Ovis aries: one gene and its partners. The protein of the gene in region 3 interacts with the protein of the main gene of each other region in a pairwise test. Links are inferred from orthologs where the notes say so. Each region holds a gene or a part of one and is shown on either strand. Other genes may lie near its edges.

Region 1 (4,356 bases), on a different chromosome or scaffold from region 3:
CCAAGCCCCCCAGGCCTGCCCTGCTGCCTGCCAGGCCATGAACACCCGGCCGCACTGGCTACCGAGTCTCTGTCAGCTCCATGGCCTCCAGAACTGGGATAGCCAAGTGTCTTGGTGCTAAATTGGGGGAAGTTGTGGTTTATCAAGAGCAACGGAGCCTCCAGTCTAAGTAAAACGTGGTCCATTGGAGAAGGCAATGGCAAACCACGCCAGTGTTCTTGCCTGGAGAACCACATGAACAGCATGAAAAGGCAAAAAGATAGAACACTTTTACTGGCTGGTATAAATCAGTGTCCCACAATCACCATCTCAGGTTTGAATCTTTGCTAGAACAGCAAAGGGAACTGTGTTCACTGGTTTATCATATAATAAAGGCTATAGATGAACAGATGAAGCCCAGAAGGGTCCCAAGTGTAGGAGGTTCTGTCCCAAGGATTTAGGTTACACTACCCTCCTAGAAAGTTATGACCGACCTAGACAGCATATTAAAAAGCAGAGGCCTTACTTTGCCAACAAGGGTGTGTCTAGTCAAGGCTATGGTTTTTCCAGTGGTCATGTATGGGTGTGAGAGTTGGATTATAAAGAAAGCTGAGCGCTGAAGAATTGATGCTTTTGAACTGTGGTGTTGGAGACGACTCTTGAGAGTTCCTTGGACTGCAAGGAGATCCAACCAGTCCATCCTAAAGGAAATCAGTCCTGAACATTCATTGGAAGGACTGATGCTGAAACTGAAACTCTTAATACTTTGGCCACCTGATGCGAAGAACTGACTCATTTGAAAGCACCCTGATGCTGGGAAAGATTGAAGGCAGGAGGAGAAGGGGATGACAGAGGATGAGATGGTTGGATAGCATCACTGACTCAATGGACATGAGTTTGAGTAAACTCTGGGAGCTGGGGATGGGCAGGGAGGCCTGGTGTGCTGCAGTCCGTGGGGTCGCAAAGAGTCGGACACTACTGAGCGACTGAACTGAATCCTCCTAGTGCATGAGTATGTGAATCAACCTGGAAGCACTCCAAAGCCCACAGTCCAGGGATTTTCAGGGAGGCTTCATTATATAGACATGATCAATTATTACCTCAATCTCCAGACTCTTCTCCCAGGAGGATGCTATTGCTGTTACCGAACTCAGGTTCTGCTGCTTGCTGCTTGAAAACATACTCAAGAGATGAGTGTTCGTTGGAAATGAAAAGTTGATTTATTCAGACGTCGGCAACCTGGGAGAAGGCTGACTAGTGTCTAGTGTCGAAAGCCAACTCCGAAGATTCTGCTTGACCATGAAAGTTTTTAAAGGGAGAATCATTTGAGGAGGAGGGATAAGTGTCTTCCTTATCTTCCCCTGTGCAGACTTTCTTCTGATTGGTCAGTGGTGAGGCAGAAGGCTCCAGGAATCTTGTGCTCACCCTTAAGATACCATTCTCCACCCGGGTGGGGCCTCATTCCTACTGAAGAGCTCAAAGAATAATGTGTATGCCTTGAGGAGGAACCACGACCCTGTCCCGAAGCCTCACTGTTATTTCTTGACTGCTCCTCCTTCGGTTCTGCTTCCCCTCCCTTCCCTGATAATAACCACCTGTTTAAATCTGCGGAACTCAGGGAAGGTCAGGAGGCTGAATGAACCCTGTTTCCTACAAACAAGAAATGGGGGACACGGAAAAGAGTGTATCAGAGGGTATGTATCAGGTAGTTATATACGCCCCTTGGGGAGGAACTAGAACTCTTTCATCACTGAACTATTGACTGCTTTCCCATGGTTCCTGTAGTCCCTTACTTCCTTATATGTCATTAGTTACTGACACCTGTTCAAGGGCACGCATTGCAGCCAGGCTTAGATTACAAAATGGCTTGGGCCAAAAGTGCTTCTCTTCTGTCGAGAAAACCAGGCCTGGTTCTCTTTCTCCAGGGACTCCCTACCCTTTCTGTTCTTTGTATCCTCTCTTTTTTGAGATTTTCTCTTTTTTTCCATTCATGTCAAGAGTGTTCATAATTGCTTGCAAGAGCATTTGTGTAATTTTGCTTTAAAGTGTCAGATATGATTCTTTGTCATCAAAGTATTGGCATCTGTTAATTTTTGCATGTGGATTGAGATTTTTTCTGGTTCTTTGTATACCATGTAATTTTTAGAAAATACTTTTGGCTGTGCTGGGTCTTCATTGCTATGCACGGGCTTTCTCTAGTTGCAGCAAATAGGGGCTGCTCTTGTGGTGTGCAGACCTCTCATTGCGGCGGCTTCTCTTGGTGCAGAGCGTGAGCGCTAGAGTGCGTGGGGCTCAGCAGTTGCCGCATATGGGCTCAGTAGTTGTGGCTCGAAGGCTACAGAGCACAGGCTCAGTAGCTGTGGTACACTGGACCCCGGACCAGGGCTTGAACTGCTGTCTCCTGCATTGCAAGGTGGACTCCCAACCCCTGGGCCACGGAAACCCCTACCATGTAATTTTGGATTATATCCCAGATACTTGACTATTATGACACTTTATTTAGCTCTTATGGAGATCATTGATATTTTTGTTTTAGTAGGCAGTCAATCTGGTTAATTTGTGCTGTTACAGGAAAGAAAGTGGGGCACGAGAGAATGGTCACTTGCCACATCTCAGGCAAGTCCCGGGGATGGCTGCTAAACGTGGGTTCTTGGCTTCATGAGGGAAAGAACTCAAGAGCCAGTCATAGCAGAATGCAAGGTTTATTCAGGGGTTTACTCCATAGACAGAAAATGGGCCATCTCAGAAGGTGGGGGGTTGTCAGTTTTTATTAGGGTGGGTAATTTCATAGGGTAATGAGTGATAGGATTATTCCAACTGTCTTGGGGAAGGGGCAGGGATTTCCAGGAATTGGGCCACTGCCCACTTTCTGGCCTTTTATGGCCAGCCTCGGAACTGTCATGGTGTCTTTGAGCAAGTCATTTAGCTCACTGATGTACTGTGCGTGTGTGTGCTCAGCCACTCAGTCGTGTCCGACTCTTTGGGACCCTGTGGACTGTAGCCCACCAGGTTCCTCTGTCCATGGTATTTTCCAGGCAAGAATACTGGAGTGCCTTGCCATTTCCTTCTCCAAGAGATCTTCCTGACCCAGGGATCAAACCAGCATCTCTTGAGTCCTGCATCGGCAGGCAGGCTCTTTACCATTAGCACCACCTGGGAAGACCCACTGATGTATTACAATGAGCACATACTGAGGCTAACGGTCTAGTGGAGGTCAGCCATCCGCCATCTTGGCCCCACCTTGGCTCTAACTAGTTTATATTGGGTCTTCAGTGGCGGTCATTCTTTTAAAGGTTGTTCCCTCCCCATTCCTGTCTGCATGTTTTAACACACCTTCCGTGGGTTGTGGTTTCAGTCGATTCATTTTCCAAATCCTTTGCCGTTGTGTAATTTTATCTGTCCCTTGTGTGTATTACCCAGGGGCTAGCTGGGGACCTGGGCAGTGATCTGTCCGCCAGTTTAGTTCTCAGAGTCTTTGATACGCTGATTAGGATAAGATTCATGCCTGAGGTATTCAGTGGAATCACTTTCCAGAGCTGCCCCCTCTCCAGAGTCTCCGTGAGCTTTCCCTTTCTTTGGAGGTTCCTCTTTTTCAGGCAGAAAGCTGAGGCTCAGGGACCACGCACTTCTGTCGCGGTGCCTGCATTTACTGTGTAAGTGGACTAACATCTTCGAGTCTTGGTCCTCACATGTAAAATGCAGATAAACATATTACAATGACTGGTATATAGAGCTAAATAAATGTTTCCTAATATTAAATTTTTAGCTTCTCAAAACTGTTACTACAGATTCAGTTTTCATTGATTTAAACAATCTTTATCCAAGTTTATGCATGTGAAGGGGAAATAAATTATGCCATGGGCATCAAAAAAGACTTGATGAAACTAATTTTTGGTCTTCAATTAATAGTTTTAATTTCTAGTGTCTTTAGGTATAAATGTGTGTGTATGTGTGTGTTGGTAAGTCATGTCTGACTCTTGTGTGACCCTATGGACTATGCGTGCTCTTTTGTCCATGGAATTTCCCAGGCATGAATACTGGAGTGGGTTGCCATTTCCTTCTCCAGGGGATCATCCCACCCCAGGGAGCAAACCCTGTCTCTCCTGCACTGGCAGGCAAATTCTTTACCACTGAGCTACCTGGGAAGTCCTTAAGTATAAACGCCAGCTCCAAATTGTAAGATAAATTGCTGGGGTTCTGACACCTAATTTTTCCTGTTAGTGAATAGAGTCTTAAGGGAAATAGAAATGAAACACAAACAATCCCTTCTGTTAAAGAGTTTACATTTTAGCTAAATAGACAATGCAATTATACATTAATCCTGTAGAAAATAGTTACAGAGTAGTACTGATGTGTCAAAGATAAAGGGCAACCAAC
Region 2 (3,646 bases), on a different chromosome or scaffold from region 3:
ATTCTCTACTGCTGATCCATGAGGGAAGCCTTTGAAATACTGTGACTTACTGGAATTACATTTATTAGCACACAGATTCAAATTAACAACCTCCTTTGAAAAAGGCCTTCTCTAAAATGAAGAATCTACTGTCCTAATTTTCATGTGTAGCTATATAGAAAACTAGTATTCTAAAGGATAATCTTATACTCTTATACTCAACCTACTGGAGGAACTTCTGAAGGTCACATCAATAGGTGACTTTGAAAGGCTGTGAAAAGCATATCCTGAGTTTACTGCCTGGGATATAAACAACACTTAGCACATGCTTGTGACTACTTACTTGAATAGAGAAAAAGCCACTGTCATCCATATTTCCAGAAGGCTGCTGTTGAATTTGGAGAGGTGGTTGGGGCAGAGATTGAGGGTGGGGAGAGAAGGGCAAAGTGTCATTAGTGTGTGCATTTAAAATAACATCTTGTGCATTCCCGTCTACAAAGCCGAGAGCTGGGTTATAATTAACAAGTCAGATCCCCATTGGAAGAGCAGCTCATCCCTTTCTAAACAGTACCCACATTTTTTAAGAAGTGTGATTTAGTGAGTTTAAAATTGGTACCTGCAAAAATGTGCGATAGTCTTCACTAGTAACTCCTCCTTCCGCCATTCTCATCCTCTCTTCCTCATCTAGCTGATGTGCAATTGAAGACAATTCCACAGGGCTGAAGTATTCTCCTTGTAGTAGGTTATTCAAGCAGTGTTGAGCACAAAGTGAGCCTTCTTGCTAATATTTCCAAAAGAAAAAATTCAAATGTGATTTGTAAAACAGATTTGTACAGTATCTTCTCCAAAGATATGTAATCATTAACTTCCTAACACAGCCAAACCAAACATTTTTAGCTTTAGAAAGCATGAATAACCCAGGTATGGGCATTTTCATTTGCTAACATTTATTTTATAATGAAACTATAATTATATGATCAGTTATATGGTCAAACTTAATGATTTATATTAAACAAAAATCATCTATATAAAATCTCATATTTTACTAAAAATTACTCTACAATAAACATTTAGCCTCCCTCATTTTCAGTAGCTAAAATAACTTCACTTTTGGAGATTCCATGGTAAATTACTAATGCTGAAAAGAACATTTAATCCCTAGAACATTTGTTCTTTCAACAAGATTTAAATGGTCATTCATGGGATGTTTATGTACTCCATTTAATGAGTACATTTAAATGTTCGTTCATGGAGTTTCAAATCCATGAACAGATGAATCTCAAGAACTGACACAGTAAGACAAATTCTGTTCCATGTTTATGGAGACGTGTAGCTACAAAAATGAGGCTCTCTTAAAGAAAGATAAGGCACACACTGTGGTGTAGTGAGCAATACTGTCCAGAAAATCATGCTTGGAGCTCACTTCTAAACAAGGCAGCAAGGAGACCGCATGCATCCCAGCTTGGGTCTCCAAGGGATCGCTGGCTTCCTGTTATGAGGGTGGGAAGAATACAACTTTCTACAAGCCCCAGGGTCTTCAGGCACTGGGCAACTGGCTTTCTCACGCTGCTGGCACCCAAACCTAAACTCAGGCTACCTTCAACTAAGTAGCCTGAGTATCACCCGTCTCCCCTCAACAATGCTGCTCTCCTGTTTCCCTATGAGAAGGGAGACTCATGGGTGGATGAGGTCCCTCCCTGTGCACCCAGCACCGGACTGACTCCAGGGGATGATGACAGTTGGGAGAATACCTTCTCCTGCTAATAACCCTGATGCTCTAAGTTATCCATTTCCCTAGAAAAGTCTATTCTTTAACCCAGCCTGTCTGACATCCTGCAATTTGTTCTGAGCTATGTCTCACAACAGATCCCCAAAGACCAACACCATGCAAGACACATCTTTTTCCTGATTTCATTTTCTGGGAACAAAATTCAGGAATGCAGCATCGAGACAGTCTGGGTGTGATCTAGGGGGCTGAGACAAGTTTATCTTCTTATTTTGGTGCTGAATACACAGCTTGAACTTAACGAAGGCACTAGCTACCCCTCAAATCATGGCTACAATAGCGAGAAGAGGACTTGTCTGCACCTTTTTCCTTCAACTGTATTTCTACTACCAGAAAGCACTGCCCACCGAATAATATGTGAGTTGGAGGGAAAGACCCTGATGCTGGGAAAGACTGAAGGTGGGAGAAGGGGATGACAGAGGATGAGATGGCTGGATGGCATCACCGACTCATGGACATGAGTATAACTACACTCCAGGAGTTGGTGATAGACAGGGAGGTCTGGCGTGCTGCAGTCCATGGGGTCGCAAAGAGTCAGACACGACTGAGCAACTGAACTGAACAGATGTCCTACTTATACTCTAATCAAAAATGGGCAAGACAAGCAAGTACTCACAAGAGGATAGCCAATGGATTAAAAAACACAAAAGGGGGCTCACCTTCATTTACCTATGAGAGGAATGCATATTAATGTTAACAGTATGTTATTACTACACACTCCAGAATGACTAAAATGTTGGAGAGGATTAAAGACATCAAAACTGTTTCACACTACTGACGAAAGTGTAAATTAGTATAACCACTTTGGAAAACTATCTGGAGTATCTACTACAGCTTGCCGCTGCTGCTGCTGCTAAGTCGCTTCAGTCGTGTCCGACTCTGTGCGACCCCACAGACAGCAGCCCACCAGGCTCCACCGTCCCTGGGATTCTCCAGGCAAGAACACTGGAGTGGGTTGCCATTTCCTTCTCCAATGCATGAAAGTGAAAAGTCAAAGTGAAGTCACTCAGTCATGTCCGACTCTTAGCAACCCCATGGACTACAGCCCACCAGGCTCCTCCATCCATGGGATTTGCCAGGCAAGAGTACTGGAGTTAACATATACCAACCCTATAATCTAGTAATTCCACCATTAGGTACATAGCATAAGCAACAGAAATGCATACAGATGTACATCAAAAGACACGTATAACAATGTTCATAGATGCATTATTTGTACTGGCCCCCAAACTGGAAACTACCCAAATGCTCCTCATAGTCCAGTGGCTAAAATGTGTGATATTTACAAAGAAATACTATATAACACACTGTGTAACAATGAGGTGCTCAGTTGCCACCCGAGTCTTTGTAACCCCATGGATTGTAGCCTCCCAGGCTCCTCAGTCTGTGGAATTCTCCCAGGCAAGAATACCGGAGTGGGTTGCCATTTCCTACTCCAGGGGCTCTTCCTGACCCATGGATTGAACCTGGGTCTACCTGCATTGCAGACAGATTTTTTACCATATGAGCCATCAAGGAAGCCCTATTATATTGGCCACCAAACTGGAAACTACTCAGAGGCTCCTCCCAGAAGTATGGCTAAATTGTGTTACATTCACAAAGAAATACTATATAACAACATACTATGCAACAGAAAATTAACTATATAACATAACAATACTAGTGAGTTAACTACAACTACCTGCAACAAAATGGGTAACTCAATCAGTGTTAAACACAGTTCAGTTCAGTCTCGTGTTCGACTCTTCGCAACCCCATGAATCGCAGCACACACAAGACAGACTCAAAAGAGTATACTCTATATGATTCCATTTACAAAATCTCAAAACAGACAAAACTGATTAATTGATGACGTTAGAAATCAGGATAGAGGTTATCCTT
Region 3 (4,202 bases):
TTTTTTTTAAAGGGAGGAGGGTCCTGTTAACACATGTATCATAGTTAGCCACTTCTCTACTGATGGACTGGAGTGGGTAGCCTATCCTTTCTCCAGCAGGTGTTCCCGACCCAGGAATTGAACAGGGGTCTCCTGCACTGCAGGTGGATTCTTTACCAACTGAGGTATCAGGGAAGCCTGGACATCTTAATGACTCAGTTTTATTCTTTTGGCATAGGATGTTGCAAATGGATAGCTTTCTCCATGTTTATTTTATTATCAGTAGAAATGACCTCAAGTTTTGGTAGAATCTCCCATGTTACACTCCTACCAAACCAGTTTAAGAATTCAACATGTCACTCTCTGCTAAAAACATTTTCCTCCAGGGGCAATATAATGGAAAGAATTTGAATTCTACCCCCTCGAACCAAAAGGCCTTCAGCCTCTCTGGGCCTCTCCCCCAACCCCACCCCCTACCCCCTCGCCTGTAAAGTGAGATAGGACCAATCTTGCATCCCAGGGTGGTTGTGAGAATCCAGAGATTCCGTCCATGAAGGGTCAGCTCCAGAAGAAACCTGGTTGTCTTTCAGTTTTAGAGTGCCCCAGGGCATTGGCCAGAAGCTCAGGCTGAACAGGCTGGAGGACACCCTACTCCCGACTTGTAAATGAGGAAACAGGCACAAAAAGCACCATAGGTTTGATGAAAACCACACAGCGCTGGCGGCAAAGCCGGTGCTCGGGCAGAGTCTGAGCGGCTGCCAGCAGTCTTCGGCTTGCAGCCCTCGGGACTGTGCACAGCGGAAGGAGGTCAGCTATTTAGCTACTCTCTAACCTAGTTCGCTCCCTCAACTTCCCCACCCCTGTCCCACCCCAACACAAGTACTCGAACCCACTCCTCGCTTGCTTTGAGCTCAACCCAAGCCCCAGGGGCCGCAGGGAGAAGGAATCATTTCTGGACAACTAGAGGCAGCTGCGGCCACCGTCAGTCTCGGCCCCAACCGGGAGTGGTAGGGCGCTGGGGCGGCTTGAGCTTTGAGGCTCCACATCCTCCCTCCCCGCTGGGCCTCAGACTGTGCGCTCTCGGAACTCCTTTTGCGTTCAGTGACTGTGAGTGGGACGTACATGTAGACGGCAGAGAGGCTCTGTATAGCCATGTTACATGTATGTGTTGCGTGGTCACGCACCCTTTTGTGAAACGTGTTCACTGTGGTGTGCGGATGTCGGGGCGCACGGAATGTGATGCTCCTCATTCCAACACCCGCACTTCCGGAAGGTACTCACAGGCCTTTGTGTTTTTTGCAGGACTGTCGCAACCGCCTATCCGGTGTTTGCGCGGGAGTGACTCCGCCTTAGCTCCGCCCCCGCGATTGAAATCCCGCCTTCGCCCCGCCTCCGCCACACTTTACGGCCTTGCACGCCACTTTTGCCGCAGACGCTCCTGCTGCCGCCGCTGCCCCAGGCTGCTGCCGGTGAAGTGAGGTGAGGTGAGGTCAGGTGAGGTGTAGTGTGGGGCCAGTAGCGCTGGCGACAGGATAGAGGTGGAGAGCCGGGCCGTCGAGGGCCGGCGGGGGTGGTGAGTCACCTGCTGCTTTGTTTCTTAAGCTCCGGTCCCGTCTGCGCTGCCGCAGGGAGGCCGCCCCGGCCCGGAGAGCCGAACCAATGCTGGATCTGGAGGTGGTGCCCGAGCGCTCTCTGGGAAACGAGCAATGGGAATTCGCGCTGGGTGAGTGTGGAGTCTTCCCCCACGACCCTTCTCGCTGATCCTTCCTTCTTTCCCTGCCCTTCCCATCTCTGGGCTCTGCCCCTTACTCCCCTGCACCCGCGGCTCCTTGACTCTTTGGGACTCCAGTCACTAGATACCGGCCCCGACCTGGCAGCCTGTCGCTCAGCCGGGCCCTGACGCCTTTGCATCAGGCTTCGGCGGGGCCCCTCCCGGGGCAGTGCTACAATAATAATAATAACAATGGCTGACACGCCCCAAACGTTTACATGGCCTGACCCTGTTCTCCGGTGCATGATTATATCAGGCTGCCTCCGGGGAGGCCTGAGGGTCGCTAAGATTGTTACTTCTGTACCCATTTTACAGACCAAATAGCTAAGGAGTGACTGACATCCTTAAATACTGCTCCGGTAGTTCATCTCCCTTTGCTTTTCTGGGCCTTGTGTAGCCTCTCCGGAAGGAGAAACCTAGGCACCGTTCTCATCGTCACATACTGGGGAGCTAGTCAGGGGAACTGAGGAGAGTTTTTGTGTTTTAAAGCAACTGCTGACTAGCTTCCTTCTCGTTTTTAATGTCGATGTGTGGTGTAATCCTAAACCCAGACTTTAGCGGAGAGAGTGAATGGTTGAATGATATAAGAGTTTGAGTAAAGTAACATTTGGTTTGTAAAAATGCAGGTTGGGCATTCTGTGGGATTTGGCCCATGTTTTCCCCTTTTCCTCAATGTCGCTACCTTTCTGTGTACTAGTATTTGGATTCAGTAACCCCAGAGTGTGTTTACTTTTATGTTCCAGCACTGGGAAAAGGGGGTGGGGAGCAGGTGTTTGTGCTGTTTGTTTGTGCAGGCCTGAACTTTTGTCACACTAATTTGGGCTACTGGACTGAATCAGCTGCTCCATTGGGCTATAGTTTATCCTTGAATCTGGAAGACTCCTGTATATGGAGATAGGGTAGGTGAGAAACTGCAGAACACATTTGCTAATGGAATTCTACTGGTGCTCGTGTCTCTGAACTGAATAGCAAGCTGCCTCTGGGTTGTAGGAGCCAGTTGAGAATTTGCAGCCCCCTTCTCCCATAACTTAACTGGGATGAAACACTTCAGGTTCTTGCGAAGCACCAAGAACCTGATTGACAGGCTAATGATATCATTGCCTCCAGGCCCATTTGTTTTGCCGATGCTGTTTGGCTTCTAGTTAGGAAAGAACCTCCCCTAAACACAGCTTCTCATCCCAGGACTTCACAGGGCAGAGTGAAAACTATGACTATAGGTTCAAACTGTGCTTGATGGTGTGACTAGGTTGTGTATCTACAAGTACAGTCTCTGGGTCAAAAGTAGAGAGTATCATTTGAGATTTGCAAAAAATGAGGTGGGAGAGTAAGGTTGCTTCTATCAAGTGTTGTTGTGATACTTTAACCCCTACTCCAAAGTTTTCCAGTTTCTAGGAATCAAAGATTTGGGTAGTTCTTTCAGGCTGTCTAAATACCAACCACAAGTAGTGAAAAGAGCATTTCTGTATGTTGGGCCTAGAACTGAACTTTGAGGGAAAGCTCATACAGGGAATAAGCCTGATGAACATCAGCCTTGATGATTCCTTTTTCTGTCTTGAAAGTCTGCACTTAGGGGAGATTCCCTGGCGATCTAGTGATTGGGCTTCCCTGGTGGCTCAGAGGTTAAAGCGTCTGCCTAGAATGCAGGAGACCTGGATTTGATCCCTGGGTCTGGAAGATCCCCTGGAGAAGGAAATGGCAACCCACTCCAGTACTCTTGCCTGGAGAATCCCATGGAGGGAGGAGCCTGGTAGGCTACAGTCCATGGGGTTGCAAAGAGTCGGACACGACTGAGCGACTTCACTTTCTTTCTAGTTGTTAGGACTTGGCATTTTCACTGCGGTGGGCTGGGGTTCAGTCCCTGGTTGGGGACCTAAGAGGCTCCAAGCTGTGCAACATGGCCAAAAAAATCCACATTTTTGTATTATGTCTGCCTGAGAGATGGTCATTTAACTTCCCTAAGCTTTTTATTAAAAAGTAATTTTCCCTCTTTCTCAGTCTTCTTACCAGCCCTTAACACATTTAAGCTGAAATTTAGGCTGATAGGTAGGGATAGGCCTAAGAAGTGAATCTGTGCTTTAGAATTATATTCTTAGGCTAAAGTCACCACAACCCTGTGAGGTTATCTCTATTTGCCAGGTGAGGAACAGGCTCAGAAAGGTAGAAAGGATAAAAAGAAGCCTAGTAGAGATTTCCTGCTTCTCACTGCTCTGCCCTTCTGAGGATTGGCTCAGCTTAGTCTCCAGGTTTCTTTTTAGCATCTGTGCAAATGCAGATGTATCCAGTTCTTGCCTTCATCTGCCTGGCATCACAGTGAGGAGCTGCATCCAGCTTTTTGGCTGCCTTCCTGACCTTTGTACTGTTAGGAGATTAGGGAACAACACAGAGATAAGAAAGCCTAGGCAGAGAGGAATCTTTTGCTGGTACCACCTTGGCTTGACCAATGGTGGAGCAA

Evidence for each region.
Region 1: the proteins of PHAF1 (region 3) and BCAS3 interact in binary tests that used the Homo sapiens proteins (3 or more experiments, as listed by UniProt). The link is inferred for Ovis aries from reciprocal best matches to the Homo sapiens genes PHAF1 and BCAS3.
Region 2: the proteins of PHAF1 (region 3) and ATXN3 interact in binary tests that used the Homo sapiens proteins (3 or more experiments, as listed by UniProt). The link is inferred for Ovis aries from reciprocal best matches to the Homo sapiens genes PHAF1 and ATXN3.

What each region holds. Positions count from the first base shown.
Region 1 is NC_056064.1:12,004,429-12,008,784, reverse strand, and holds the start of BCAS3 (BCAS3 microtubule associated cell migration factor), read left to right. Parts: upstream 1-1,436; 5' UTR 1,437-1,615; coding exon 1,616-1,673; intron 1,674-4,356. UniProt on the Homo sapiens protein: Plays a role in angiogenesis. Participates in the regulation of cell polarity and directional endothelial cell migration by mediating both the activation and recruitment of CDC42 and the reorganization of the actin cytoskeleton at the cell leading edge.
Region 2 is NC_056071.1:54,595,078-54,598,723, forward strand, and holds part of ATXN3 (ataxin-3), read right to left. Parts: intron 761-3,646; coding exon 596-760; intron 368-595; coding exon 323-367; intron 1-322. UniProt on the Homo sapiens protein: Deubiquitinating enzyme involved in protein homeostasis maintenance, transcription, cytoskeleton regulation, myogenesis and degradation of misfolded chaperone substrates.
Region 3 is NC_056067.1:34,324,481-34,328,682, forward strand, and holds the start of PHAF1 (phagosome assembly factor 1), read left to right. Parts: upstream 1-1,398; 5' UTR 1,399-1,638; coding exon 1,639-1,702; intron 1,703-4,202. UniProt on the Homo sapiens protein: Plays a regulatory role in autophagic activity. In complex with BCAS3, associates with the autophagosome formation site during both non-selective and selective autophagy.